4 linked regions of the Pelodiscus sinensis genome follow. The protein of the gene in region 1 purifies or fractionates together with the protein of each later gene. This does not show direct contact. Links are inferred from orthologs where the notes say so. Each region holds a gene or a part of one and is shown in the gene's direction. Other genes may lie near its edges.

Region 1 (7,052 bases):
CAATCATATCTGCCACCAGCCTGAAGGCTGAGAAACTCTTTTTATGCCATGTGGAACTGAGAGATCACTTGAAATTACAGCAACAAATTAAAAATTATTGCAGATACTGGATGAATTGGGGAACCAATGGTTGGACAGAGAGCTCTTTTACCTCCAAGACTGATGGCTGAGTGTTCAGAAAATACTGCCTATTTGACTGGTGTAGGAATAAATTGAGTAGACTTTCTAGGAGACACTATGTAGAACTCTGACTACTCTTGAAAATAGTCACTTATTTGCATGCTTAATATGGACTCTAGACCAGTGGTCTCCAACTTTTTAAAGCACAAGATTACTTTTTCAATGTAAGTCAATCCAGGATCTACCTTAAACCCAAATACACTTGCCACCACCTCCTTCCCCCCTACCTTCTTGGAGGCCCTGCCCTGCTATACTCTTTCTCAGAGGCCTCACCCTGCCCACTCTGTGGAGATGTGGTACAGAGGTGGAGAGAAAGGGAAACCCTGACATCACCACTGCCTTTTCCCCCCTCCCCCACCCGCACAGCAAGCAGGAAGATCCTGGGGTGCAGCTCCAAGGCAGAGGGCAGGAGAATCATAGTAGTGGGGGGGAGAGGCAGCCAAAATGCTGGCAAGTGATAACCTCCTAGACAAACCGGTTACGTTTTTAAATCAGTTAAAAAGCAAATAGCTGTTTATGCAAGAGCTTCCACTATTTCAAGCCCTAGTGGAACTGACCTGATGGTGGCAACCAAAGGATATCTAAAGGAAAAACAAAGACTATCCTTTCTCCATACAAGTTTTTATTCCCTTCCCCAGATTTGTTTAGAAAATGATCTTATAGGCTACATCTACACTGTAGCCTTCTTCCGCAAAAGCTTATGCAAATGAAGCACAGAGTGGAATATTGCTGCGCTTCATTTGCATAATTAATTAGCAGCCGCTTTTGCGCAAGAGGTTCCTTTTTTTGGCGTAGACGGCTCCTTTTTGTGGAAAATCCCCCTTTTGCGCAAGAGCCATTCTTCCTCATTTTTTCAGGAAGAACGGCTCTTGCACAAGAAGGGGTTTTTGCATAAAAAGGAGCCGTCTACACAGCTCCTTTTTGCGCAAAAGCCTCTTGCGCAAAAGCGGCTGCTAATTGATTATGCAAATGAAGCATGGCGATATTCCACTCTGCACTTCGTTTGCATAAGCTTTTGCAGAAGAAGGCTACAGTGTAGATGTAGCCATAGAGTGGACAAGAGCAGTCTTTATGGATTGTGGTCATTCCAAGCACAACTAAGCACAGCTCCAACAATGTGAGTGTTGAATAATATGTCTCCAAACTAATTACATGAAGAATTTCAGTATAAAACATTGAAAAATATACCCCCGTCATAATCCGTGGTCAAATTCAGTTAAAATGATTGCTAATGCATGTCTCCGTAATATGTGATAATCCATTGTAACACCTCAGTATGATTAAACTAAACTGTAATTCTTCAAATATACTCATGTACACATACCATGCAATAGTCACATAGAAGACTATTATCTAAATATGGTTAAATATCTACAAATACATTGAAAATTCCTTTGATTACCCAAAATCTCAAATATCCATTTGCTAAATGACAATGACAGGAAAGGTGGTGGTATTGAAGCTGCACCTTTATTTCAACATGTGCTCTGCTAATTTCTAATCTGCTTTAGTTTCGCGGGCTGGGAACCCTAATAATATGATGTACATCAGTCTCAAAATTCAATGTCCTGTGAAGTGCATCACAGATTCCCCAGGTAATAAGAACACTCTTGAACAGCTTTCACAACCATATTAAAGCAAAGTTTTACGCTAATGGCTGCGTCTAGACTTCCTGCTTTTGTGGAAAAACTTGCCAGCTGTCTACACCGGCTGCTTGCATTTCCGCAAGAACACTGACGATCTCATGTAAGATTGTCAGTGTTCTTGCGGAAATACTATGCTGCTCCCGTTAGGGCAAAAGCCCTGTTGCGTAAATGCTTTTGCACAAGAGGGACAGTGTAGACAACGCAATATTGTTTTGCGCAAAAAAGCCCTGATCGTGAAAATGGCGATCGGGGTTTTCTTGCGCAAAACCATGTCTAGTTTCGCACGGACGCTTTTCCACAAAAAGTGCTTTTGCAGAAAAGTGTCCGTGCCAATATAGACGCTCTTTTCCGCAAATGTTTTTAAAATGTTTCCGTTAAAAGCATTTGCGGAAAATCATGCCAGTCTAGACGTAGCCTACTGAGTGTCTATTCAAAAATGACAACACACATAAATATAGGGAGCAGACCTCATGAGTATTCAGTGATATCTGTTTATTCTAGTGAGCAAATTAAATCTTTGCTGCAGATAGCACTGCAAATTTGTGATATTTGTGCAAATAAGTGCCTTTGTCACAGAGAAGGAATCAAACAGTTGTTTTTATTCAGAGGGTCCAGCTAAATTCATCTATGGAACCCCACAGGAGAGAATAGCATGCATGCAGCACCACAAAATATATGTAACGCAGAATCTTATTACTAATGGCGATGCATAAGAAAATCCCAGCTTGACTTTGAACGAGGAAGACTGAGAAAAATAATCTTTTAATTTGTAAGAGCTTGTATACACCTGGAATTGTACAGAAATAACTATTTTGGAAGAGAGTCTCTCTTTGGAAGAGTAATGGTGTTAGTCTGTAACTTCAAAAACAATAAGCAGTCCTGTGGCATTTTAGAGACTAACAAATATATCATGAGCTTTCATGGGTAAAATCCACTTCATAAAATGGGTATTTTGGTAGAGTTAGTCAACAGGTGAATCCTTGAATTTCTGAAGTCCCAGTTTAGCTTAATTTATGCACTAACCAAAAGCAAGGAACACTTATTCTGGGGTAAGAATGTCCATGCATTGATTTACTCAGGTTTCAAATTCACACACACCTTCCTTTAATTCAAATTAATTTAAAAATGCTGACAAGCCCTAACGTAAGCACACTTAATCCAGAGAAACAATTAATAGTGGAACCTTAAGTTGTCCTTTTTATAAAAAGCTGTTGTAGCAGTGTTGGGCCCAGGATAGTAGACCTAACAGATAGTACCTCTTACAGGACCAAGTTCTGTTGATGCAGAATAAATTTTATGTGCACCATGGCATGTGCAGACATGAATCTCCAAAAGAAACACATGCTGCAAGCTGTTGGAGGCTGTGGGCGCTGTGCTGATCAGCTGGATGGTATTTAAATTTCATATGCAGCTCCCCAAGTGCTCAGTTTAAAGGGAACACGGGTGCATTGGGTGGGGGTAGGGGACTAAAGTAGTATGGTGTTTTCAGCAGATATATAAGGATAGAGTAGCACAGGTGGCGGAAAAGGTGATTTTAACACGGAGGGAAGCGTCATGATCTCTGGGGATCAGGAATAATGAATGGGATGGAAAGGGGCAGTCGGTGGAACATAAGGAAAGCGGGAGATGAAGGCGAGGCTGCACATACCCAGGGTGGGTAGGAGAGCTTGAACGTCTGAAGGGGAAAGCAAGTAGCTATGGTGACTAGACAAGAGGACTGGGCGCCTGGGAGCTTGTGTGAGAAAGAGACGGGCTGCGGGGCACGGGGAGCAGCTGGAGGAGGCGAGTGCCGAGGGACGGTGCGTGGCGGGTAGCACTGCGCGGGCTGCTGTCCCGGGACAGGCCCATGGGCAGGGTCTGGGGGGCAGCGCAGGGGGATGGGACACAGGCCAGGAGATTCCTTCCCCCCGACTGCCCTGCCCTGGTGACCGTGTCTGAGTAGGAGCAGGTCACGCTCAGAGAGGGGGGAGGGGCTGCCGCGATTCAGGGCGCGCGGGAGGGGTCATCACCAAATTCCGAGCGGAGACACCCAGCGGGGCTGCGGCTGGCAGCGCCCCCTGTCTCGCAGCGCGCAGAGATATTTGTCCCGGCTCCCTGCCCAGCCCGACGCCAGCGGCGGTGGGAAGGAGGAGCGAGTGGAACGCTGGGAACGGTGACGTGTCCCGGAGGCTCCGCCCTCGCACAGGATATATAAGCGCAGCGGCTCACATTGTCGGTCTTTTTCGCCACGGGTTTGCCGACGCTTAGCAGGTGAGAGGCGGCCGCGTGGAGCAGGCCTCGGTGGGGGGAGGGGTAGGCCCGCCCTATGTGGCTGGAACAATCGAGCGCGAGGCGCATGGTGGTTGAATGCAGCCTTGAGCGGGGAAGCTGCGGCGCGTGCTGGGGCTGGCGATAGGCAAGGGAGCCGCGAGACGATGGGGGCCCTTCTGTGGGCGGGGGGGGGTTCACAAAATGGCGACGTGGCCACGCGCTGCCCCCGGTGGGTAGCGTATGGAACCCGGACTGGGGAATCCCCTTCGCGGCGCGGGAGGGGGGGGGAGGGCTCCCCATCTGCCGGGCGGTGTGGGCCGGCCAGACGTGCGGGGGGTGGGAGCGGGGTCGCGCTCCCTAGTGCGGGGCCGCTCCCATTCCTCGCCGCCCCTTTCAGCGAAAATGGCCGCGTCTCCCGCACACGCGCCACAAAATGGAGGACGCGGCGGTCCGGGCGGAGTGAGTCAGTGACACAAAGAGCCGGGCCGGCCGGCGCTCGCCAGGCCGCATGGCCGCTCTTTCGCTCGCGGTGGGAGGGAAGCGTTTCTCGCCTTGTGTGCCCCCTCCCTCGCGGGGTGGGCGGAGCCGCGGCCCTCGAGTGCCGCCTGGGCCTAGTCGCGGCCGCCACGCCCTGCGCCGGGCGCCGCCCCGTTAGCGGCGCTCGGGCCCGGGCTCATTCCTGCCGCCTTTTCCCTGCCTAGGAGTTACCCTTGTAACGCGAGAGCGGCCGCCGCGAACCACCCAACATGGGCAAGGAGAAAACCCACATCAACATCGTCGTGATCGGCCATGTCGACTCCGGCAAGTCCACCACCACCGGGCACCTCATCTACAAGTGCGGGGGCATCGACAAGCGAACCATCGAGAAGTTCGAGAAGGAAGCCGCGGAGGTACCGCCACTAGCTTGCTTGCAGTGCAGAATGGAGGCTCAGCAGCTGGGTGTGGTTGCTCCAGGCCACAGTTGGTGAAATAGCACCTCTTTTAAACTGCTGCAGACTGTAAAGATAAATCCATCCGTCCGGACTGGGAGAAAAGACCTGACCTAAGTACAGCAGGGATTTTCAGAGTTCCCAGCCTCTGGCAGGGGTTTCAATTAGACAACACTAAGCTGCTCTGTATCAGCAACTGTTAAATCTAGGTTTTTTAAAGGCTGAGCAATACATGGCTCTTGTACCACAAAGAGCACCAATGAAAAGCATTACAACAGACTGCATCTCAAACTTGAGTGACAAGATTACCCTAGCCAAAAATTGCCCCAGGGTAAATAGTACATACTCTAGCTGTGGAAGAGATTACAGTACTATGAAAACAAGAGCTTATAGTGGACACTTGATACAGCCTTGGCTCTGCTTGGTCTAACTTTAAGAGATGTATTAAATATAATTAAGAGATTGAGGGCCAATGTGGTGTCAGGTCAAATACCAGAAAACAGATGGTATTTCTCACCAGTGATGCCAAATGTATTCAAGCCAAAGTGCTCTTAGCATTACAGAAAACTAGCTGCAATGGAAGCTCTTTACTACTTTGAGATGTTCCCACTAGCATTGGAAATAATTTAAACTGCTATAAAATAGTGCAAGATGTACTAACACACTTTTTTAAACACCTGTAGATGGGCAAAGGTTCCTTCAAATATGCCTGGGTTTTGGACAAGCTGAAGGCTGAACGGGAGCGAGGCATCACAATTGATATTTCTTTGTGGAAATTTGAAACCAGCAAATACTATGTCACCATTATTGATGCTCCTGGACACAGGGACTTCATCAAGAACATGATTACTGGCACCTCACAAGTATGTAAATGTGAATTCAGTTGGGTTTGTTATCTATTTGTGGTCCATGTAAAAAACTAATTATCCTCTTCTCCAAAGGCTGACTGTGCTGTCCTTATTGTTGCTGCTGGTGTTGGTGAGTTTGAAGCTGGTATCTCCAAGAATGGGCAGACTCGTGAACATGCCCTTCTGGCTTACACGCTGGGGGTAAAACAGCTGATTGTTGGTGTGAACAAGATGGATTCCACTGAGCCACCATATAGCCAGAAGAGATATGAAGAAATTGTCAAAGAAGTCAGCACTTATATTAAGAAGATTGGCTATAATCCAGACACTGTAGCTTTTGTACCAATTTCTGGTTGGAACGGGGACAACATGTTGGAGCCTAGCTCTAATGTAAGTTTGCATTTATTTTGTATATCAATTGAATTGAAAAGACTGCCAGAGTGAATTGTCACAATAATATGCATTTGAATGGAGATTAAATTGTTAAACTTGTCAGATCAAGGCAAGTTTCAATGTTTCACAACTTAAGATACAAAGAAGAAATACTCGTAAATATTCAGATATGTGAATAGGAAGGACACAAGTTATGTTTGTGCTGCTTTTTGTTTAGATGCCCTGGTTTAAGGGATGGAAGGTTACCCGTAAGGATGGCAATGCAAGTGGAACTACCCTGCTAGAAGCTTTGGATAGCATACTGCCACCAACTCGTCCAACTGACAAGCCTCTGCGCCTGCCTCTGCAAGATGTCTACAAAATTGGCGGTTAGTATTTTGTGTGAAGACTAGTTCTGTAAATTTGTCAGTTTGCTAGTGACATTCCAACCCTTAAACTGCAGAAATGGTAACATTTGTCAATCTTTGTATAAGTTTAAGTTGTAAGAAATAAACATCCTAGAGGGTTTTTTCTTTCAGGTATTGGTACTGTACCAGTTGGTCGTGTGGAAACTGGTATCCTGAAACCAGGCATGGTGGTAACATTTGCTCCTGTCAACGTAACAACTGAAGTAAAATCTGTTGAGATGCATCATGAAGCTTTGAGCGAAGCTCTGCCTGGTGACAATGTTGGTTTCAATGTCAAGAACGTGTCTGTGAAAGATGTTCGCCGTGGTAATGTTGCTGGTGACAGCAAGAACGACCCCCCAATGGAAGCGGCTGGCTTCACTGCACAGGTACTGTTTGGAACCATTTGAAGGTCTTTGG
Region 2 (7,191 bases), on another chromosome or scaffold:
GCACTGGCGGGTTTGTACCAATGGAGAGTTACGAACGGTGCGAACGCAGGGCTGCAGGCTGCTGGGGCGCTGGCGGGTTTGTACTAATGGAGAGTTACGAACGGTGCGAACGCAGGGCTGCAGGCTGCTGGGGCGCTGGCGGGTTTGTACTAATGGAGAGTTACGAACGGTGCGAACGCAGGGCTGCAGGCTGCTGGGGCACTGGCGGGTTTGTACTAATGGAGAGTTACGAACGGTGCGAACGCAGGGCTGCAGGCTGCTGGGGCGCTGGCGGGTTTGTACCAATGGAGAGTTACGAACGGTGCGAACGCAGGGCTGCAGGCTGCTGGGGCACTGGCGGGTTTGTACTAATGGAGAGTTACGCACGGTGCGAACGCAGGGCTGCAGGCTGCTGGGGCGCTGGCGGGTTTGTACCAATGGAGAGTTACGAACGGTGCGAACGCAGGGCTGCAGGCTGCTGGGGCGCTGGCGGGTTTGTACTAATGGAGAGTTACGAACGGTGCGAACGCAGGGCTGCAGGCTGCTGGGGCGCTGGCGGGTTTGTACTAATGGAGAGTTACGAACGGTGCGAACGCAGGGCTGCAGGCTGCTGGGGCGCTGGCGGGTTTGTACTAATGGAGAGTTACGAACGGTGCGAACGCAGGGCTGCAGGCTGCTGGGGCACTGGCGGGTTTGTACTAATGGAGAGTTACGAACGGTGCGAACGCAGGGCTGCAGGCTGCTGGGGCGCTGGCGGGTTTGTACTAATGGAGAGTTACGCACGGTGCGAACGCAGGGCTGCAGGCTGCTGGGGCGCTGGCGGGTTTGTACTAATGGAGAGTTACGCACGGTGCGAACGCAGGGCTGCAGGCTGCTGGGGCGCTGGCGGGTTTGTACTAATGGAGAGTTACGCACGGTGCGAACGCAGGGCTGCAGGCTGCTGGGGCGCTGGCGGGTTTGTACTAATGGAGAGTTACGCACGGTGCGAACGCAGGGCTGCAGGCTGCTGGGGCACTGGCGGGTTTGTACCAATGGAGAGTTACGAACGGTGCGAACGCAGGGCTGCAGGCTGCTGGGGCGCTGGCGGGTTTGTACCAATGGAGAGTTACGCACGGTGCGAACGCAGGGCTGCAGGCTGCTGGGGCACTGGCGGGTTTGTACCAATGGAGAGTTACGCACGGTGCGAACGCAGGGCTGCAGGCTGCTGGGGCACTGGCGGGTTTGTACCAATGGAGAGTTACGAACGGTGCGAACGCAGGGCTGCAGGCTGCTGGGGCACTGGCGGGTTTGTACTAATGGAGAGTTACGAACGGTGCGAACGCAGGGCTGCAGGCTGCTGGGGCACTGGCGGGTTTGTACCAATGGAGAGTTACGCACGGTGCGAACGCAGGGCTGCAGGCTGCTGGGGCACTGGCGGGTTTGTACCAATGGAGAGTTACGAACGGTGCGAACGCAGGGCTGCAGGCTGCTGGGGCACTGGCGGGTTTGTACTAATGGAGAGTTACGAACGGTGCGAACGCAGGGCTGCAGGCTGCTGGGGCGCTGGCGGGTTTGTACCAATGGAGAGTTACGAACGGTGCGAACGCAGGGCTGCAGGCTGCTGGGGCGCTGGCGGGTTTGTACTAATGGAGAGTTACGAACGGTGCGAACGCAGGGCTGCAGGCTGCTGGGGCGCTGGCGGGTTTGTACCAATGGAGAGTTACGAACGGTGCGAACGCAGGGCTGCAGGCTGCTGGGGCACTGGCGGGTTTGTACTAATGGAGAGTTACGCACGGTGCGAACGCAGGGCTGCAGGCTGCTGGGGCGCTGGCGGGTTTGTACTAATGGAGAGTTACGCACGGTGCGAACGCAGGGCTGCAGGCTGCTGGGGCACTGGCGGGTTTGTACTAATGGAGAGTTACGAACGGTGCGAACGCAGGGCTGCAGGCTGCTGGGGCACTGGCGGGTTTGTACTAATGGAGAGTTACGCACGGTGCGAACGCAGGGCTGCAGGCTGCTGGGGCACTGGCGGGTTTGTACTAATGGAGAGTTACGCACGGTGCGAACGCAGGGCTGCAGGCTGCTGGGGCACTGGCGGGTTTGTACCAATGGAGAGTTACGAACGGTGCGAACGCAGGGCTGCAGGCTGCTGGGGCGCTGGCGGGTTTGTACTAATGGAGAGTTACGCACGGTGCGAACGCAGGGCTGCAGGCTGCTGGGGCACTGGCGGGTTTGTACTAATGGAGAGTTACGAACGGTGCGAACGCAGGGCTGCAGGCTGCTGGGGCGCTGGCGGGTTTGTACTAATGGAGAGTTACGAACGGTGCGAACGCAGGGCTGCAGGCTGCTGGGGCGCTGGCGGGTTTGTACTAATGGAGAGTTACGAACGGTGCGAACGCAGGGCTGCAGGCTGCTGGGGCGCTGGCGGGTTTGTACTAATGGAGAGTTACGAACGGTGCGAACGCAGGGCTGCAGGCTGCTGGGGCACTGGCGGGTTTGTACCAATGGAGAGTTACGAACGGTGCGAACGCAGGGCTGCAGGCTGCTGGGGCGCTGGCGGGTTTGTACTAATGGAGAGTTACGAACGGTGCGAACGCAGGGCTGCAGGCTGCTGGGGCGCTGGCGGGTTTGTACTAATGGAGAGTTACGCACGGTGCGAACGCAGGGCTGCAGGCTGCTGGGGCACTGGCGGGTTTGTACCAATGGAGAGTTACGCACGGTGCGAACGCAGGGCTGCAGGCTGCTGGGGCGCTGGCGGGTTTGTACTAATGGAGAGTTACGCACGGTGCGAACGCAGGGCTGCAGGCTGCTGGGGCACTGGCGGGTTTGTACCAATGGAGAGTTACGAACGGTGCGAACGCAGGGCTGCAGGCTGCTGGGGCGCTGGCGGGTTTGTACTAATGGAGAGTTACGAACGGTGCGAACGCAGGGCTGCAGGCTGCTGGGGCGCTGGCGGGTTTGTACTAATGGAGAGTTACGCACGGTGCGAACGCAGGGCTGCAGGCTGCTGGGGCACTGGCGGGTTTGTACCAATGGAGAGTTACGAACGGTGCGAACGCAGGGCTGCAGGCTGCTGGGGCACTGGCGGGTTTGTACTAATGGAGAGTTACGAACGGTGCGAACGCAGGGCTGCAGGCTGCTGGGGCGCTGGCGGGTTTGTACTAATGGAGAGTTACGCACGGTGCGAACGCAGGGCTGCAGGCTGCTGGGGCGCTGGCGGGTTTGTACCAATGGAGAGTTACGAACGGTGCGAACGCAGGGCTGCAGGCTGCTGGGGCGCTGGCGGGTTTGAAGGAAGCCGTCGCACGCCGGCCTGTGCCACCAGGGGCACTGCCCCAGTACGTGCCGCAGCGCGGGCCCCGGAGCCCGCAGCACCGACAGCGAGCGAGCGGCCTGGGCAGGCCTGCGAACGCCCCAGGCCCTAGGGCCGGGCCCCGCCTCAGGGCACCCGGGCTCCCCCAGCCAGGGAGACCCGGGCCGCCGCTGCCGGGCGGGGCGGGGCACAGGGGGACGCGCGCGCCCCCGCGCCGGTCAAGGGCACCCCGGGACAGGCGGAAAGCAACGAACCCGCCGCGGCAGGGAGCGGCTGACCCCGCCCAGCGCCGCAGCAAGGCCCCGGGCCCCGTTACCTCCGTGCGCTGGAGGAGCCGGCCGCCCCCGCCGCACCTATTCGGTCTTCTGAAGGCAGACGCTGCGCCTGAGCGCTCTCGCCCCGCTAATATGGCGGCCGCTTCGGCAACTTCCGTCACTCCCCGGAGATTCCATCGGCCATTTCCGTCAGTAGGGGCCTCGGCAACTTCCGTCACTCCCCGGAGATTCCATCGGCCATTTCCGTCAGTAGGGGCCTCGGCAACTTCCGTCACTCCCCGGAGATTCCATCGGCCATTTCCGTCAGTAGGGGCCTCGGCAACTTCCGTTACTCCCCGAAGGCTCCTTCGGCCATTTCCGTCACCAGTGCCGCTGATCGGTAACTTCCGTCAGTCCCCCGCTCAGTTCTGGTGATTTTCGAAAATCTTCGCGTTGTAGCCGAGGCGGAACCCCCCGAACATCCTCATTATTAGCCGTTCGCTATCTCCGTCCTCCGAGTGTCCCTCCCCATCCGCCCTGCTCCTGTGCTAAGTGGTGTGGCGGGGGATTATTTCCAGGTGCGTTCCCGCGGAGGGATAATGTCACGTCAGAGGCCCGTGCGGCGGAGGGATACCACGCACTCTCTATAAAACGGGAGCGGAGGGCTGCCTCTCTCTCTTTCTGCGGTGGGTGCCGGTCGGGTCTTGCGTCTGAGGGCTGTGACGACGACGGTACTCTCGCCGCCATGGGCTTCGGGGACCTCCGCTCCTCTGCCGGCCTCCGGCTCCTCAACGACTTCCTCGCTGACAAAAGCTACATCGAGGGGTGAGCGGCGCGCGGAGCCGTGAGGCGGCTGCCGCAGAACGGCCCCTCCCCCGCGAGCCCGGCCTGCTGGGATCTGGCGCGTGGCCTGCAGGTCGGCCTCGTGCCGCGTGGCCTGCGCGCGCTCGGACACCCCCCCCCCCCCAACAGCGGTTGAGTCCGTTGGGCCCAGGGCGGTGATGCACGAGCCGCCTGGCGGGTTCCCTGCGCCCCGGGGCGGGCGGGAAGCCTGCGGCGTGTGTTGCGCAGCGTGTCGTGCCTGGGATCGGCGCTGACTCGTGTTTTCTGCAGGCACGTGCCCTCGCAGGCGGACGTGGCGGTTTTCGAGGCCTTGTCCGCGCCACCCCCGGCTGACCTGTTCCACGCGCTGCGCTGGTACAAGCACATCCAGTCCTATGAGCGGCAAAAGGCCAGGTACCTCCAGCGGCTCCCGCGGAGCGCTCACTGATACGTGAGGGGCTAATCGCCGAGCGTCATCGTGTCTCCATGGGCTTGTAGCCAGCAGTTCTGTAGACAGGGACTTTGAACCCACGGGCTGTTCCTGGCCCAGCACACAGCTGAGCCCACAATGGTAAATAGGTGACGCTTATACCCCGACCGGATCATGGCCCAGTACAGATTCCCCCTACAATATGTACACCAGCTTCTCACTCCCCGCCCCATGTGTATCTTGAAATAGGAATTCTAGCAAACAAAATTACCAACTCTCATGTTGGGAGACCTTTCATTCACATGATCATCCTGAAATCTTAAAGTAAATTAAATAGTGACCTGCAGAAGCACCTGGAAATGTGAAAGCAAATGTATTCTTTTCTCTTTTAGTGAATTTAGTGCTCATGAAAGTTGCCGTATTGACAGCCATGGAGACTGAAGTCCTCTCTAGAAAAGGTACACCATAGGCAGCTTCAGTGTGTGCACTTTCCACACTGCCTCACCATTGTGCTTCAACCCTGTTTTGGGGGAGCCTCCTGTAGAGTTGAATTGTTCAGTCTCCTGACCTTTGGCTTTTTTGATGCTTCTGCTAACTGTATACCACTTGTGATGGTTTGTCTTGAAACTGGACAAAAGTTATAAGCTTATTTCATTAATCTCGCTACAAATTCTGACAACATCTAACTAGTACCAGTCTAGCAAAATTCAAAGTACAGGTTAATATAGAGGAACATAATCATGGAGGCTAGTGTTCTGTCACTGCAGTTTATCAGAAATAGCAATCTAATAAAATGCAAATAGACATAAAAGCTTAAGATAACATCATTTTGTCTTCGGTAGATACCTTCAGAATAATGAAGGTGCAAAGAAAGTCATAGTTAAATACACTAAGGTAGCTAAAGGAGGAGGCAGTAGAAAGGCTGAAATATATATATTTTCAAGCAATAGAGGGAGCTGTTTGCACTTCTGAAGTCCAGACTCAATTACAAACATAAAAGCAAATGCCTATTTGCAGCTGTGGAAGTAAGCAAGAGGTGTGTGTGGTGTGGACATGGGACAGCACTGGAGGCACAGTAGGTGGCCATGCAATCAGTGGCTATAGAAGTGACAGTTTTCCTTTCAAGGCACCACTTCTCTCCTGTTGGCTGTGTGGCTCTCCCTGCTCCAGAGTCCTCCAGCTTTGGGTGCAACCCCTGAGGTGAGATGGGTGGAGGATGTCCAGAAGTCCCCTTCAGAATTTCCATCTTCCTCATCCTCTAATTAAATCTGCCTTTCCATAAACACCAGCATTAAGGTTAAATAAACTATTTCTTGGTCAATTCTATTATTCTGATTGTTTAATTACTAGCATTGTTTCCTGTGCGGTTGGGTGTCTGCTTAGGAGAAATTCAAATGATGCTGAGCTGATTAGCAGAGCATCTGTTTGTTGGTGTAGATTTGCACATGCCTCAGTGCACATAAAATACTACACATGGATGGAAAAAATCTGCACACAGTGCAGATATGGATTACTAGTATATTTTGTGAATATAGTATTTCAGCTATATTATGGGTTAAGTAGGTTTTTGTGGGATAGCCTGGGAACCTAAAACCATTTTATAGCTTTCTATAGGAAAATGTGTTCAGAGTTGGGGCTTCCTGTATTTAGTTCCTAACAGGTTCCATTCGTTCTAAAACAACACAAGCCAGGTTGTGTTGATGTTAGGCACTAAAAAAGCTCATTCTCAAACAACTCCATAGCTAAAACACCAAAATCAATTAATTACCTGGTTACAAAACTAGCCTTACCACTGTACCTACCAAGCCACTAATTGATCCTCCACTGAAAACAAAGGTTTTCAAGAAATCATTTGGGTGGAAAGTGGAAGATTTATTTAATGATGCAATATAGTGTTAATTTTCAAGAACCACTAATCTTTCTCTGATCTATTGTCTCTTTTCTGCATGTTGTAAAAAGCAAAACTTACCAAATCACCCATGAACAAAATTCCAGACAAGTGGTTGCTGTTAGGTGCTATATTGTCGGAAATTCTGCTAGCAAGAGCAAAAGTAGTATGCCATTTAGCTGCCTATGCATGCGGGATTCACCATTATAATTGTCAATTTAATTATGTTGAGTGCACTTTTGGGACTGTTCTGGCTTCTCTCACTTTTGAAATTGTAGTATACTTGATTGCTATCACAAATAATCATTACTGGAGGTTCATTGATCTTAAATCTTTGTGTGTGAGATTAGGAGTGTAATATTTTGCCACTTGTTTTAGTTTGCCAGGAGTAAAGAAAGCTTTGGGGAAATATGGTCCTGCTGATGTTGAAGACGCTACAGCTGCAGCCACAGATAGCAAAGATGATGATGACATTGATCTCTTCGGATCAGAGGATGAGGAGGTACTGGCTAATCTTAAGCAACAA
Region 3 (7,777 bases), on another chromosome or scaffold:
TCCTGATTGAAAATAAATTAAAAAAGAGGGAATATATTTAGCCTCTAAACAAGGAGAGAGCGAGAGTCAGGTCGCCTGGATGCTGTCCTGGCACTGACTTACTGTGTGACCTTGGGCAAGTTACTTATGCTCTTTGCCTCAGTTTCTCCATCTGTGAAAATGGGACAAGGAGACTTCCCTATTGCACAGGGGCTTGACAGAACAACAGGTCGGTTTTTCCTCTCATACCAGATTGTCATGGCTGTAACTCCACAGCCTGCAAGTAAGAGATTTGTACCAGTCTGAGAGAAGAATTTGGTCTGATGTTTTTGAAGCACTCTGAGATCCTGTGAAGGAAGCTACATATAAGGCAGAGAAGTATAAAAAGGAGCAGAGTAGATCGCTGATATTTAGGCCAGGTCTACACTAGGGGCGCTACAGAGGCATAGTTACAGAGCTGCATTTATGGTGCTGCCACATGGTAGTGTAGACGATGCTACCTACAGCAATGGAAGGGGGTTTCTGTCTGTGTGGGAATCTGCCTCCCATGTTATAGTAGCTAGGTTAATGGAAAAATTCTACCATCAGCCTAACCACGTCTACATTGGGGGTTAGGTTGGCTTAATTGTTCACAACCCTAAGAACTGCAGCTATGCTGACCTAACTTAAGGATAGATCAGCCCTTACAGGTCATAAGGGTGTATTTTCAGAGTGATACTTTAGTTTTTCGATGCATTTTCAAGAGCCAGGGAACAAAATATTCAGACTAAGCTAACTGCAGATGGGTTAAATACCGAGCAAGGAAAGGTTCTGGAGTAGGAGTGCATTTCTCCCCTGGAGAGTGTGAATCCTCTGGCCATCCCTGATATAATGAGGCTTTAGGTAGTGGTGATGTGTATCTTTTAGAGGGGGCTGGGATGCATCTTGTGATACCTGAGCACAAAAATATTAGCAGGCAGCCTGAGCCAAGCAGGTGGACTGAGAGCTCAGTGACAGATTACTGCCCCACTCTCAAAGCACTCCACTCCTTGTGCACTTTAGGATCCTAATTTGATCCAGCTGACTTCATTGGTCCCGCCTCCCTCTAGTAGTGCTAGGGGAATTCTGCAATTGTTGCATTTGGAGCCACAGTAACATTGCAGAATTCTCCCAGGACTACCCCTCCCTCAGCTTCTCTTTTCATCTAACAACAACCTCCTCTCTGCGCCCTCATGCTATTTCACCGCTGACGTGAGAGCCTTCCCCCTGCAGCTTGTGTCCCTCTGCCAGGGCTGAATGCACTTTAAGGGGAACCTGCCTTTTTAAGGTTGCTGCAGTTAGTCTAACTGCCTCCCAGCCCATACACTGCAACTCAGGGAGTTTCCAGAGGCATTGAACATGCCCCAAAGGCTGTCCTCATGGCCACTATGCCAGAGAGGGCTTTCACCGTCAGGATAGCAGTTAGTCAGCTCTGGGACTCTCCTCTGCAGAGGGAACAGGGACAGGACCCCATCCCACCCCACCAGGAAGCATGGTGCACTTGCATTCTTTAGGGCCCTCTGTAAGATGCATTCATTCGCACTGTCATCTAATCCATGAGAGTAAGCCAACAATAGAGAGTCATGGGAGAAAAAGCCAGATCACCCCAGATAAAGGATCTGGGTAAAACCACAGCAATAGGGGGATTCTTAGAACTAGAGGAGATGTACAATCCTGTTTAATTGGTTAAACATCATGTTTAATTGGTTAACCAATTAAAGGGGGGGCGGGCTGGAACCCGGTTGGAGCAGCCTCTGCCTGTGACCACCCTGGGCCCGCTTCAGATGCTCTGTAGCATCACTCAAACCTTTTGCATCCCTAGTTAGAACCTAAGTTTTGTTTTACTGGTGCTTAGAAACCTAGGCGATGAGTCTCATGAAAACAGCTAGGTAGACAGATATCGCTGACCTGTACCTCCGCCTGCAAGGGACTGAGCATTCCGCCAAGGTGCGAGGACTTCTGCGGCGTGTGTTTCAAGGAGACATTTTTTAAAACCTCCCTTGTTGCTTTGCACATGCAGAAATCTCCACGCCTTCCCCTTACAAAGATCTGGATGAAGGTGAAGCCTGCAAGAACGAATGAGCACAACAGCACCCAAGTGCCAGCTTTTAGTGGAGGCTCTAAAAATAATGCTCTTCAGCACCCGATTCCTGCTCTCCCCTCCTGGCATGCCAGCAAACCCACAAGCACCTCTGGGAGCACTTGGCTTGCACCAGAACCTCCCATCCTGTAGGTGGAGCTGCTGCTCCTTCCTCTTGCGGCCAGTACATGCGCAGCACAGGATCCCTGCAGAGGTTTTCATTTCATTTCCCTTCCCCCTCCTCCTTTAATATTTAATGCAGGCCTTGGAGTCCTCCCAGCCTATGTCCCCTCCCCCTTGATATTTTGGCCATAAGCACAGAAATAATGGCCATAATGTAGCAGTAAAGATACAACAATCAAAATACAGAGGCCAAAAATAAAATAAATCGAGGGAGGTTAATGTCAGAAAGAAACACAAAGTGCTGAGTTATTCCAGCTTCTGTTTCATTGTAAGCATCTGGCAGCAGCTGCATTTGAATGCTCTAGCAAGGACCCCATAAGAGGCAATAGTTTCAAAGAGAAGAAGGTTCTGAGAGTGTCTGCCGGGTAAAAGCAACCCCCAGCAATTGGTGGTGGTATATTTTTCATGAATGCTTTTCTTTGATTTACAGAGAAGGAATGGACCACACTGGGTGAAAGCCTGAAAACCTTTACTCATGCAGCTGTTTCCTTAGGCTACAGAGAGATCACTCGCATAGGACTTCTTGCTTGTGTGGGAAATCGGAAGATCAGGCCTCAGTGTACAGCTGACCAAATGTTAACATGGTAAGCCAAAGGATACTGCTTCAACAAATGGTGTATGCTTTAAAAAACAACCCCCCCCCCCAACAAAACCCCAAACAACCACAACCCTTATCTGAATCTTGCTTTTAAGGACAAGATTATAGAGCCTGCACCAAGCAGAGCTGACTTGACTGAATGAGGGCTCCACCTGGAGTCCACCCATGTAGAGCTCATTTCAGGGTCCGGGCCAAAGCCAGAAATAATGTATCTGTTCAGCAGTTTGGAGCTGTTATGAATCACCTCCAGCTGCATTGCAATTTGGAAATTAATTAGACTAATACAATCCTAGGGCTGGAAGAGACCTCAGGAGGTCATTGAGTCCAGCCCCCTGCCCAAAACAGGGCCAACCCCAACTAAATCAACCCAGCCTGGGCTTTGTCAACCCAGGACTTAAGAATCTCCAAGGAGGGAGATTTCACTGCCTCCCTGCGTAACCCATTCCAGTGCTTCACCACTCTCCTAGTGAAATAGTTTTTCCTAATATCCAACCTAGACCTCCCCCACTGCAGCTTGGGGTCCTGATTCTCATCTGCTTTATGCTGAGGTAACGCAGGAGTCTTCCTCCATAAGTCCGTGGTTACAGCTGTAAAACTGATGAAACTGAGGAGTGTCCCAGTTTGTGTTGGGGGGAAGAGAGGTATTATTACCCACACCTTTAATGAATGGAAGTGAACTGGCCAAGGATTTCAAAAGCACATATTTTAATTGGCTTATTCCCTATTATATTCTTTTTTTATCATGTATTCATTTTAGTTTAGGAATCAAGATAGACCGCTTTACAACTTAGTCATAACTTTTCACAAAAATATACAGGGGATTCCCTTAGAACCCAATTCTCAGTTTAAATAAATGGCAAGATTCTCGTTAACTTCTGAAAGAGCTGTATCTGATACTTGGCTATAATTGATTATACAAGAGTTTGAACAATTACTGATGTAAGCAGGATCTGAAGGAATGCTACTGATGTACAAGAAGCCAGACTACTGCAGTCTCATCTAATCATCATGGTCAAGCCAGTCATAGAGATAACCTTAGGCAATGAATTTTGTTTTCATTTAGAAGATTATATTCATTTGCTTAATTCCATTAAGTGAGGTGTTAAACATCCAGGACTAGCTTGTATTCTTGATAAGGTTTTAAGCAGAGTCCAGTTTAATTCACCTACATAGTGGTTTTATTAACATATTTTACATGTATCCTATGAAATATGGTCCCTGTCCTGGAAGGGGATTTGAGTGAACAGCTTCTCATGCCTTCCTGGAATCTTTCTGATTTCAACAGAACACCCTTTGAGGGATCATATATAGGTGACCCATAACTAGAGGATCAGCTGCGGTGGATCTGTGTTCTAGCCCTGAACTTTAGCTCCAATTTGTGAGTGTGTCATGCAGATCAGAACTCTCCATTACTCCACCCTGCATTAAAAGTAATCACTCAAGAGTGGATGTGATTGGAGTTGATTTTGTCCACAGAACAGTAGTACTGTAGTTTAGAGACAAGTATTAAGGGACTCCCAGTTTGCCAGAAAACTTGCAAGTGTTATGTTTATGCATCAACCCCACAATGTCCTATACCACCCTTCCTAAGTCTTACCCTCGATTTATTCTTCATTTACTTGAAAGGTGTAGAGCTGGATTATTTCCTATTGTTGTGCTTTGAATCATAAACGGGTTACAGATTAAACAACCCAAGTCTTACCAGTTTTAGCATTTGTAGCAGCCCTAGGGTTTTGCCCTCTGGGATACTTGCGTAGACTGGGGCTCCTCCTATGTAGAGCCACGTGGTTGCAGGATGTCCCTTGCGCAGAGTTAAAGGCCCTCCGCACCATAGAACGCCCTTAAGGGTACCGGGGAGGGAGACAGACGCTCCGACGCATGCGCCTTGAGCTGCCCGCTGTCCCCGCCTCTAGGCCGGCTCCGGCCTATAAGAAGGCTGGGCGTTGACGTCAGCTTTCTCTTCCGCCCGCTCTGTCCCCGCCAACGAGACAGGGCTGCAGCCGCCGCCATTACCGGTCCCCTCCTTTTCTCCGCTCCCGGAGAATCCGCCGCCATCCGCAGCCATGGTGAGCTACCGGCACCTAGGGGCGGGCTGGGGGGCTACGGGAGGCCCTGACCTGGGCGGGCCACTGGATATGGCCGCCCCCTGGCCGATATGGACCAACGGGGAGGCCTGGGAAGGTGGGGGTGGGGCGGCTGCCGTGTGTGTGTGCGCGCGCGCGCGTGCGGGGGGGGAAATGTAACTAAGATCCCTAAGAACTACCTGTTTGCTGTGGGGCCTGGGAACGGGGGGGGGGGGCAGAAAGAGGGCCTGGGAACGGGGGGGGGGAGAAAGGGGGCCTGGGAACGGGGGGGGGGGAGAAAGGGGGTGTCTTCTCCCCCTCTTTGAATGGGGGGGGTGTTGCGCCATCCAGCACTATGGAGAATGGAGGGGGTGGGGAGCGTCTTCTCTAGGGGTGAATCCACCCCTGGATTGGGCTGCGTCCTCCTGTTAAAGGAAACCCCTTCCCTAGGGGAGCTCCCACAGTAGGGCCTCTGCCAGTCTCCCCCTTGGCGGGTGAACTGTGCCCTGTCTGAGCGACCTACCCACCCACCCCTTTTACAGGGTGTGGATGCGCCATCAGAGCACTAGGGAGGGGGTAGGAGGCTTTGAGGCCTGCTAGCTCGACAGAGCTTCCTTGCTGAGCAATGGGGGTATAGGTGTGAGCTTCTCTGCAGCTTGCCCTTGCTCTCCTAGCGATTGTGCTGGTTGCTCTGTGTTGATCAGCCTCTTTTCCACCCCCCAACAGACAGGCGAGCAGCTTCCTCACGTCTTGTGTTCAGGGGTTTGTTCATTAGGGGAGCCTTGAAGCTGTTGTGCAGCTAGGAATGATGTGGCGGGGTGGGGGAAGGCAAGTGCCAGGATGTGTTTCTAGTCTCTCCTCTGGTCAAAGGGAGGTACTGCAGCCTGGGGGAAGGGGGAAAATACTGCCTGCAATGAGGTAGTAGCATTCTTATGTAACTCTGCAGTCTAGAGTAAAATCCCAGCTTGGATGTCTGGGTTGTGAAGAATTGGGATCGGATGTGGCAGGTGTTCTGAGTTGCTTATTTTGTGCAGTATCATGATGGTTCTGTGCGGTAGGGCTAGGAGTACAGGTATGAAATGTGAGCAAAGGTGATCTTAAGACTTTTTATAGGAGACTTTCTTGACTGTAAGACCCTATTAGGCTGTGCAATTGACTCCCCAAAGTAAGTACTAAATGCCTGGTTGGAGGCATTCAATGAGATGAGAACGCACTGAAAAACTGCTTTCTCTGTGTTGTCCTGTCATGTTTACTGAGCAGTCTATTTCAGTGACACTAAACTTGGCACTGCCATGTCTGGATTCCTGGAAGAACTTGCCCCTGACTGTATAACCTTCTCTTCAAGGTGAACTTCACAGTAGACCAGATTCGGGCCATTATGGACAAAAAGGCCAATATCCGAAACATGTCTGTGATTGCCCATGTGGATCATGGCAAATCCACCTTGACTGACTCCTTGGTATGTAAAGCTGGTATCATTGCCTCTGCCCGTGCGGGTGAGACTCGTTTCACAGACACGAGAAAAGATGAGCAGGAAAGATGCATCACCATCAAGTCAACGTAAGTTCTGTCCCTTCAAGCACATTCTGGTGTTCAGTTGCTTCTGGTCTCATCACAGAACTGGGATTCAGGAACTTCTGGGTTGAAATAGTATTTTGGATTCTAAAATGGGGGAAGAAGAAACCATTTAGTGCTTTGGCTGCCTCAGAGGTTTACTTCCCTGCCCTATAGGGTATTGTGAGTGTTCTCTAAATGTGTTGAGAATTAAATAATGGCTTGTACATAGTCCATCAGTTAAAAACCTCGATCTTGGTAATCAAAACAGTGAACAAACGTCATACAATAGTAAGATTAGAACTTTTCCTGTTAACCTATGTTTTGTCTACTTCTGTAGACACTACCTGGAATTCCCAGAGCTGATTTGGTTAGTGATTTCTTTAGCCAGCAACTTAACTATCTCTAACTCTTATGTGGGGTGGGCCTATCTGCTACCAGAGTGAAATGCAGTGCCAAAAATACTCCTTTTTAATGCATTATCATGTAGCAGTTCTTTCAAATGCACAATGCTAAAGCAGTTACCATAGATTACAAGCGGATAGCTGATGTAGTAAAGTGAACCTTCTAGTCTTGTGTATCTTCTCTTTCAGAGCGATCTCTCTGTTCTATGAGCTGTCGGAAAATGACTTGGCCTTTATCAAGCAGAGCAAGGATGGATCTGGTTTCTTGATTAACTTGATTGACTCTCCTGGACACGTAGACTTCTCTTCAGAAGTCACAGCTGCTCTCCGTGTCACCGATGGTGCCCTGGTGGTTGTAGACTGTGTCTCTGGTGAGAACTGGTAGCAACATTTTGATGCATGTTGTGTAGAAGTAGCATGCTAGTCCTGCAGCAGTAATCTCCAAGATTCTCCCCCTGCCTTCTCCAGGTGTGTGTGTACAGACAGAAACTGTGCTGCGACAGGCCATTGCTGAGAGGATCAAGCCAGTCCTGATGATGAATAAGATGGACAGAGCACTGTTGGAGCTGCAGTTGGAACCAGAAGAGCTGTATCAGACTTTCCAGCGTATTGTGGAGAATGTCAATGTCATCATTTCCACCTATGGGGAAGGAGAGAGTGGCCCCATGGGAAACATCATGGTAAGAAGAATCTGGAAAGGTGTTCCAAGTGAGCAATTGGCCAAAGCTTGCCTTCAGGTTGTTAACCCTTTCAAAACATCTGTTAGCAGTGCTCCTCCTTCCTCTTTGAAGTAAGGAACAGTTGTCTTGTATTACTCTGGAGGCTATTGATATTGACGTAATGTTTACTATAATACAGTATGGGTTGGTATGTTGAGAAAATTGTTATTGGAATGGCA
Region 4 (7,858 bases), on another chromosome or scaffold:
GATGGAGGTAACAAGGCTGGGGGAGATGGGAATGTATTTGGAGGGTTTGGGAAGCAGTGGGGTGGTGGGTTGGAGATCCAGGACAGGTGCAGATTCATGGAAGGAAGGGGATAGGGTTGCTGTTTTGGAGGGACCGGAAGAACCTAGCCCCTGGTGGTGAATGGGGGAAGTCCCCTCTATTGCAGCTCATTCTTTGTCCTGTTCTCTGCCTGTGAATTCTCTAACAGAGCTGGTTCCCACTCTCCCCCAGATATGGCTTTGTCATTGCAGTCACTACCATAGACAACATTGGGGCAGGTGTCATCCAGCCGGGTCGTGGCTTCGTGCTCTACCCTGTCAAGTACAAGGCCATTGTCTTCCGGCCCTTCAAGGGAGAGGTGGTGGATGCTGTGGTGACACAGGTCAACAAGGTAAGCCATTGCTGCAGGGGTGGGGTGCATTTGTATGAATTTGTGGAGTATATAATGAGAGGACCATTATATCATCTCCTCTGCCCTCCTGTATAACACAGGCCAGAGAAGTCACCCAGACACCCCTGCATTGAATCCAATTACTTGAGTCCTGTGGTAACTCAAAAGTTGAGAGCCCCGGGCAGAGAACAGGAGAGACCAAACAGTTACCAGTGCCCCTCCGAGGACCCAGAGTGGCAGGGAATTGACTTGGCAAGATATGCCCAGATGATTTGAGCAAGTGATTTACATGCGCAGGTCTGTAAGGGAAAGCAAGATGCTCCAAAGGTCCATGTCAGTCTGAGTTGGAGGGGAAAATTCCTTCCTGACTCGTCTGGCAATTTGAGCATGGTGCCCAAGCCAGGCATTTAGGAAGAGGGTTCTCTGGACCATCTCAGAGTCCTGGCCCACTATGCCCAGTGTTCCATTTCCAGCAGTGGCCAGTCTCTGCTGTTTCAGAGGAAAGTGCAGTGGGGAACCCAGCCTAACACAGATTGTGCATTTGGAGGAAACTATTCCTTCCTGATTTCTGCTGAAGCTCTGAAGCATGAGATCAGATTATAGCCATTGTCATAACGCTGAGCTACAATGGTTGTGTCAATGCAAACAATCCTGTTCTCTTCAAGGCCGGTGAAGGAAAGGGTGATTCATGTAGCTAAACCTGTGGGTGGATCCCTAGCTTGGGACTATGCGGTGTCCTTGTACCAAGGATGTAGGAACCCCAAAGCAGCTCTGGGAGGAATGTGCGAAGGCTGTTCTGTCTGACTAGTATCTGAGTCCCAGGGTGTGAGCAGTGGCTGTCTTGGGGCTGGAGAGGGTGTAGCTATTGATGAGGGAACAGGATAACCTCCATGTGTACAGGCAGTCCCTGAGTTACGCGGATCCGACTTATGTCAGATCCGCACTTACGAATGGGGCTTTCTCGCCCCGGAGCTCGCAGGCAGCGGGACCGGCCAGAGCGCAGCGGTCCTGCCACCTCGACCTCCGGGGTGAGAAAAGCTGCTCCGGGTGCCCCTGGTCTGCTGGGGACCGTCTCCAGCAGACCAGGGACACCGGGAGCAAAGCCGCAGTGGCGGTGGGGTCCCGCGCCTCTGAGGCTTTGCCAGAGCAAAGCCTCAGAGGCACGGGACCCCGCCACCGCTGCGGCTTTGCTCCCCATGTCCCTGGTCTGCTGGGGGGGAGAGAGGGCGCAGCTAGTGCCCCCTCCCCCCCAGCAGACCAGGCTTTTGTTGTGGACCCTGGGGTAGAGCAGCTGGGGTGCTGCCGGGTTGGTCCTGCAGGGACCTACCTGGCAGCCCAGCTGTTCTGTCCCAGGCTCAAGATTCAGCTGCTGTTGAAACTGATCAGTGGCTGATTCCAGGAAGCTGGGGGCAGAGCAATTCTGCCTCCAGCTTCCTGTAGTCAGCCCCTGGTCAGTTTCAGCAGCAGCGGCTGAATCTGGAGCCAGTTCCGACTTGCATACAAATTCAACTTAAGAACAAACCTATAGTTCCTATCTTGTACGTAACCCAGGGACTGCCTGTATATGCTAATGGAATCACTGCTTCTGCTTCCTATAGGTTGGACTCTTCACCGAAATTGGGCCCATGTCCTGTTTCATATCTCGACACGTAAGCACAGTGCTGGGGAGAGGCAGCTTTGGGAGCAGGTAGGGTGATATATGGAGAGCTCCTTTTTCACTGACTCTTGTTCTCTTCTCAGTCCATTCCCTCCGAGATGGAATTTGACCCAAACTCCAACCCTCCCTGCTACAAGACAGTGGATGAGGTGAGTCCTGGGTAGATGGTGTTTTGAGGGGAGCTTGTGGTGTAATGGGGGTGCGTGGAGAGGGAGAGAGACTCAGCTGGGGACAAGGGAGATGCTGGAACAGGCTCATGGGTGGTGGGGAGAATTTTACTTCCTCCATATCAGACACGCTTTATTTGCTGGAGTTATGTGCAACTCTGTGTTTAGCCTTTTTGGCCTCTGCCTGAGAAAAGGAGGAAGTTTGTAAATGGGTCTCACTCTAGTGCTGCATGTCTCTAGGACATCGTGATCCAGCAGGATGATGAGATCCGGCTGAAAATCGTGGGGACCAGAGTGGATAAGAATGACATTGTGAGTCTTTGGTGCCTCTTTCAAATATGGTGCATGCACGCGTGTAGATCCACAGCTCTCAGCATGGAACTGGGGGCAGGAACTCATGGCTAATCCAGCCCTAGCCTCTCCCAGCAAGGAAGAGGGAGCAGAGCAAGAGGGCTAGGTCATTCATTCCCAGCCTCTTCCAGCAGGGGGTGCTAAAATACTGGGGATGAGCAGCCCTGCTCAGGTAGAGGCAACTCACCGTCTCTGTTTCAACACTAATCTCTGTGTTTGGTTTGCAGTTTGCAATCGGTTCCCTTATGGATGATTATCTGGGTAAGTCTCCTCTCTAGGGTCGGGAGGGAGTAACTAGATGGGCTGAGCTGGCTGAGTTCACATTGGGTTTGGGTGGCGTGAGTCTCTGCTGTAGAGTGCTTGACATGTGTCCTGGGAACAGTGTGGGCATTTCCCCTCTGTGATGGGCTAATGGTGTGGAGCAGGGGATCAACAGCACCTCCTGTGGGTCCGGGCTCTGGCTGCTCTTGATCTCAACCTTCTCTCTTCTCACTCAGGTCTTGTGAGCTGAAATATAAAACCATCCCTCTTGCTGCATGTCGGGATTCCAACTGGGAAACAATTGAGCTGTACCCAGGCCAGCTTCTGTACCTACTGCTGTATTTATAGGGTACAGATCCACTCTCCTCCACCCAGCAGCTGGGAGTTGGGGGCAGAGGGTGGCTGACAGACCAGTACTTTCTTCTTCACCTCCAATAAAAGTTCATTTGTTTTAATAAAGCAGCATTTTGTCTTTCACCCCTCAAAGCAGGGCCGGCCAGCTGCCTTGGCTGGGGTTTGTGGCTTCCTTTCCTTAGCACAGAGGGGGCTGTCCTGCTCACCAGCACTCTGGCTGCGTGATGCCTCAGCCTTACATGTGGGTAATAAGGGAGGCACAATTGTGTGGCTGTTTAGTTTATGCCATGTGTTGTATAGCTGCCAGTCTGCCTTTCCCAGAGAGCCTTGCTGCTGTTACTGGCTGTAGTCTGGCAATGGTCTGGAGCTGTATTCACACAGGCAGTTCATCCCCCCCCCCCCCCCCCCAGCTGACACTCCTAAGGCTACATCTGCACCACACCCCAGATCCTCACTGGGAGGTCAAACCACTGGCAGTAGATTTAGGGGGTCTAATAAAGACCTGCCAAATGGACCACAGATCATTCTCTAGTTGTCATGTTGCTCTGCCCCCCTGCCCCCCCCCACACTCCCATGAGAAGAGTAAGGGAAGTCCACAGGAGAGTTTCTCCCATCAACCCTGTGTGACATAGAGCCTTCAGTAACTTAAGGGATGTTGACTCCAACTATGTTATTGATGTAGCTGGAGTTGCTCTAGCTTGAGGTGACCTTCTGCTGCAGAGTAGATGTAGTCTAAAAGGCAAGATAGGGATAGCTACAGGCAAATGATAGACTAGCACTGGGGAGGGAGGCTGGGCTATTCTAATCCAGCAATGCAGGAATACTGGGTTGTGCACCCCTGCCTTTAGCTAGTCTGTGAGCAGTGTTCCCTGTAAGGTGAGTGCTTGGGCAGCTCCCCCAGGGGAGGTTCAAATGCTGCTTGGCTGTGTTTCCACTGGTGGTGTTCATCTGCACATGCCTTGGTGCATGTAAAAAAAGTTATTCCACACATGGATGGAGTTCTACATGCTGCTCGCATCAACCTATCCTAAAGAGCATGCTGGGTGCCCTTTGATGACGGACTTGGCTGCAGGAGTGGGGGGGTCTGCAGGAAAGAACAGAGAGAGAGTTTGGGGCAAGCTCTGCTCCAGGGAGCTACTGGCCAAGACCTGCACCTCTCCAGCTATGCCCTCTACAGCCTCTACCTCTCTCAGCCCCTGCCAGGTGGCACCCTGGGCCTCACTCCTGAAGAACTGGTGCAGGAGCTGACTCCAGGTTGTGGTGTCTGACCTGGAAGGGAGCAAGCTACCTTAGGAGGTGTGGGGAGGGCAGACACCAGGTGCAAGTTAAGGGCAGCTGGAGCTGGGGGAGCAACCCCAGGGCCCAAAGCAAGTACCACAGAGCCAGCAGCCCTGTCCCAGCAGTCCTGCCCCTCCCTCCCCGCCAGCTGGCGGCCACGTGCCCTTTCCCACTTCATGCAGAAGCGCGGCAGCGAGCCAAGCAGGGGAGGGAGGAATTAAGAGGGTAAGTTAGCGCTCAGAGGGAGGGGCCGGGGAGCGCCCACGTGGTTGGAGTTTCAAATCCACGTCCGGCCCCTCCCATTACGCAGCTCTCTGTGCACTTGGCTCCCAGAGACTCCGCCCCTCCTGTCGCGTGTATAAAGCCCCGCCCCGTGGTGACGCCCTATAAAGGCGCCGAGTAGTGTTGTGTCGCGCTGCGACTGGGCGTGCGGCGTCTTGCTTTGTGGCTCGTCTCCTTTTCCTTTACGGCCGTCCCGCCCCGCGCTCCTCCCTTTCTCTGCTCGCTAAGATGGCGGCGGCCGGGGTAAGTGTGTCGCTTCTGCGTGTCCCTGCTCTCCCTGGGCAATCCGTCCCCATCCGTTCCTGGCGGGCTGGCCCGGGCCTGGGGGAAGGGCAGGGCTGGGGTGCGGGTGGGCTCGTTTACCTGTGGCTGCTATTGCTGGGGTGCGCCCCTGGGGACTGGGTGGGGAGGGGGCTGACCCGCTGAAGGAGAGGTGGGGCTGGAGAGGAGCGAGCGGTTCAGGGAGGCGGCCCTAGGGGCCGGGGGGGTTAACGCGAGAGGAGAAGCTGTCGGGGTGTGTGAGAAGGCTCCTGCTGCTATGGGGCAGTTGCTAGGGGGTGCGAGTTTGTGCCTCCCCAACGACTCCCTACTATAGGGGGGTGTTTTTGCCTTGGAGTCCTTTTTTTTTGAGGTATTCGGGGCTGCCCTATAATTTAGGTATTGCTGGGGGGGTATAGTGCTCGCGGGGGAGAGGAGCCTTTCTGAGTGTGCTGGGGTACCTGGTGTTGACCATTGACTTGGATTTTCTTGTCCTTGTGTGCCTCTCTAGTGGAGAACTGGCCAAGGGAGGGTATTGGCTTCTGAGTTTGGTCAGTGGGATGGGAGCAATGGATGGGATTGGCTCAGCATGAGTCTGTAAAGAGAGGCATGGCTCTTTGGGTGCATGGCAAAGCTAGCAGTGAAAATGACAGGCTAGACATGTTGCACGGAGTGCTTGGGTCTGTGGGGGTAGAGGTCTTTGTGCATGTGTGGGGAATGCTGAAGCAAAGGGGGTTGTCTGATCTGGGGTGGTGATAATTTCAGGGGGAGTATTGGGAGGTAGGATAGTGGCTGTGAGAAGGTGCTGTCCCTGAACTGGTGAGGGACCTGGCAGGGTAGATGAAGGGAGCTACTGTCTGGTGGATGGGGGGTGGGGGGTGGGGGAATACCTGGGAGGTGATGGTAGCTGAAGAGGTAAAGGAGGTGTCTGGTTGGTATGAAGGCTGGTAAAGGTTGGTATGAAGGTATAAAGGAGGTAAAGGTTGGTATGAAGGCTGGTAAAATCAGGGTGCTGTCAGTTGAGTTTAAGGAGGTGACTTGTTCCTGTGTTTCTCATACTTGATTCATTTTCTGTGTCCTACAGACTCTCTACACCTATCCTGAGAACTGGCGGGCATTTAAAGCCCTCATTGCTGCCCAGTACAGCGGGGCTAAGATCAAGGTCCTTTCCACTCCACCCCAGTTCCACTTTGGGCAAACCAACAAGACCCCTGAGTTCCTGAAGAAATTCCCTGTTGGGAAGGTGAGTAACAGTGTTACATGTGCCTCCTTATGCTGAGTAAGAAGCAGGCTTGGGCAGTGGGTATTGCTGGATAGTGCCAGACTTCCAGTAACGAATCATTCATGTCAGAGAAACAGATGTCCCATGGAGTCACTGTCCTCTCCTGTAGTCTCCATGTGAGGGATATATGGTGGCTATGGGGTGAGGGGCGCACCTGGTCTGGTAGCAGGCAGATCAGCTTCAAACAATTTTGAATTGCATTTCGTGGTGTGGAAGATGTTGGTAGCTAGAGTGTGGTAGTCGCTCATGTCACCTTGCCCCTTGGGCAGGACACAAGTGACAGCTGTGCATGAACTTGGGAAGTAAGCTTAGAAGGGGCAAACTCTGAGTGATTCCTCTCCAAGGCATGCTTCCCATGTAGCCTGCCTCTTTGTTGCTAGCCATTCCAGCCTTCAGGTGGGCAAGAATGGCTGTCTAATGAGGCCATGAATGCCTTCTCTCCCCTCCTCCCGACTGTCCATGATGGATGTCAGTTGGAACAAGATGCCCTTGGGGTGACCAGTGTGTCAGATGAGGGAGGGAAGGGTCTGGGAACTGGCTGTGCTCTGATAGCTGGTAGAATTAGCCAGGGTAGCTGGAGTGAGGGGGTGCTGCACAGGCTGGTGAAAGCCTTGGTTGCTCTGTAAGGGGTGACATGGTGTTTGCTTTTTAGGTTCCTGCCTTTGAAGGGGCTGATGGATTCTGTGTGTTTGAGAGTAACGCCATCGCACACTATGGTAATGGCATGGGGGCAGCCCCCTACACCTGGGTGGGGAATGAAGGAATGTGGTGGGGGAGAGCATACCCTGTCCAGCTTGCTCCTAGCAGTAAAGCTAGAGTGTTCTTGCCCCATCCAGCTGCTCCTTCCTGTGCTGCTGGACTAATGGCACTGGCCAGCCCCTTCCTATATCCAGTGCAACTGTAGTTGGATCAGTACTTGTGTATTTGCTTGCCCTGTGGTACCCTTGGGGACTGGGCTTGGCTCTCCCCGCTGCTGGCTCTGCTAGGGCAGATCTGCTTTCTGTCCACTGATGGCAACCACACTCAGAGTGGGTAATGCTGGTGCTGCAGGGGATAGATGTTGGTCTGTGGTGGTGGGGGTGTAGGTTTGGGGTGGGAAGAGCTGGGCATGTCTTGGCTGGATGGGATTGGTGTCCTTGCCCATGCTGGTAACTAGCTGGCTCTCCTGTTCCAGTGAGTAATGATGAGCTGCGGGGATCCACCAAGGAGACAGCAGCCCAGATCATCCAGTGGGTGAGCTTTGCTGACAGTGACATCGTCCCTCCTGCCAGCACCTGGGTCTTCCCTACGCTGGGCATCATGCACTACAACAAGCAGGTCAGTGGCATGAACAGGTGGCACCTGATTTATTCATCAAGAGAAGAAGTTGGCTCCTTCCCATCCCTGTGTGTGTGTGGAAGAAGGGTAGTGGGAGCCCCTGGTAGCAAGCAGCACTATCAGGAGCAGAACCTACCATCCACTGCGGGAGACTCAAAGGTTTAGAAGTTGTCCATGAGGCAGGATCAGGACTCTAGAGGTATGCGTCACTAGCTATGTGATGGTAGCACTCGGTGACCTG

The links.
Region 2: the proteins of EEF1A1 (region 1) and EEF1B2 purify together in Homo sapiens (affinity purification with mass spectrometry; 3 studies listed by BioGRID and IntAct, counting the BioPlex papers as one, with this or other methods). This does not show direct contact. The link is inferred for Pelodiscus sinensis from reciprocal best matches to the Homo sapiens genes EEF1A1 and EEF1B2.
Region 3: the proteins of EEF1A1 (region 1) and EEF2 fractionate together in Homo sapiens (co-fractionation; 3 studies listed by BioGRID). This does not show direct contact. The link is inferred for Pelodiscus sinensis from reciprocal best matches to the Homo sapiens genes EEF1A1 and EEF2.
Region 4: the proteins of EEF1A1 (region 1) and EEF1G purify together in Homo sapiens (affinity purification with mass spectrometry; 5 studies listed by BioGRID and IntAct, counting the BioPlex papers as one, with this or other methods). This does not show direct contact. The link is inferred for Pelodiscus sinensis from reciprocal best matches to the Homo sapiens genes EEF1A1 and EEF1G.

What each region holds. Positions count from the first base shown.
Region 1 is NC_134713.1:54,087,879-54,094,930, reverse strand, and holds the start of EEF1A1 (elongation factor 1-alpha 1), read left to right. Parts: upstream 1-4,047; 5' UTR 4,048-4,076; intron 4,077-4,777; 5' UTR 4,778-4,822; coding exon 4,823-4,966; intron 4,967-5,688; coding exon 5,689-5,868; intron 5,869-5,946; coding exon 5,947-6,243; intron 6,244-6,463; coding exon 6,464-6,614; intron 6,615-6,764; coding exon 6,765-7,021; intron 7,022-7,052. UniProt on the Homo sapiens protein: Translation elongation factor that catalyzes the GTP-dependent binding of aminoacyl-tRNA (aa-tRNA) to the A-site of ribosomes during the elongation phase of protein synthesis.
Region 2 is NC_134717.1:75,105,063-75,112,253, forward strand, and holds the start of EEF1B2 (elongation factor 1-beta), read left to right. Parts: upstream 1-4,190; 5' UTR 4,191-4,270; coding exon 4,271-4,350; intron 4,351-4,638; coding exon 4,639-4,761; intron 4,762-7,043; coding exon 7,044-7,167; intron 7,168-7,191. UniProt on the Homo sapiens protein: Catalytic subunit of the guanine nucleotide exchange factor (GEF) (eEF1B subcomplex) of the eukaryotic elongation factor 1 complex (eEF1).
Region 3 is NC_134729.1:22,015,423-22,023,199, reverse strand, and holds the start of EEF2 (elongation factor 2), read left to right. Parts: upstream 1-4,768; 5' UTR 4,769-4,921; coding exon 4,922-4,924; intron 4,925-6,266; coding exon 6,267-6,481; intron 6,482-7,068; coding exon 7,069-7,250; intron 7,251-7,347; coding exon 7,348-7,559; intron 7,560-7,777. UniProt on the Homo sapiens protein: Catalyzes the GTP-dependent ribosomal translocation step during translation elongation.
Region 4 is NC_134721.1:36,815,222-36,823,079, forward strand, and holds the start of EEF1G (elongation factor 1-gamma), read left to right. Parts: upstream 1-4,847; 5' UTR 4,848-4,988; coding exon 4,989-5,003; intron 5,004-6,102; coding exon 6,103-6,261; intron 6,262-6,952; coding exon 6,953-7,016; intron 7,017-7,474; coding exon 7,475-7,617; intron 7,618-7,858. Other genes in the region: POLR2G (DNA-directed RNA polymerase II subunit RPB7), read left to right, coding at 251-410, 2,009-2,059, 2,151-2,216, 2,475-2,546, 2,813-2,846, 3,083-3,096. UniProt on the Homo sapiens protein: Probably plays a role in anchoring the complex to other cellular components.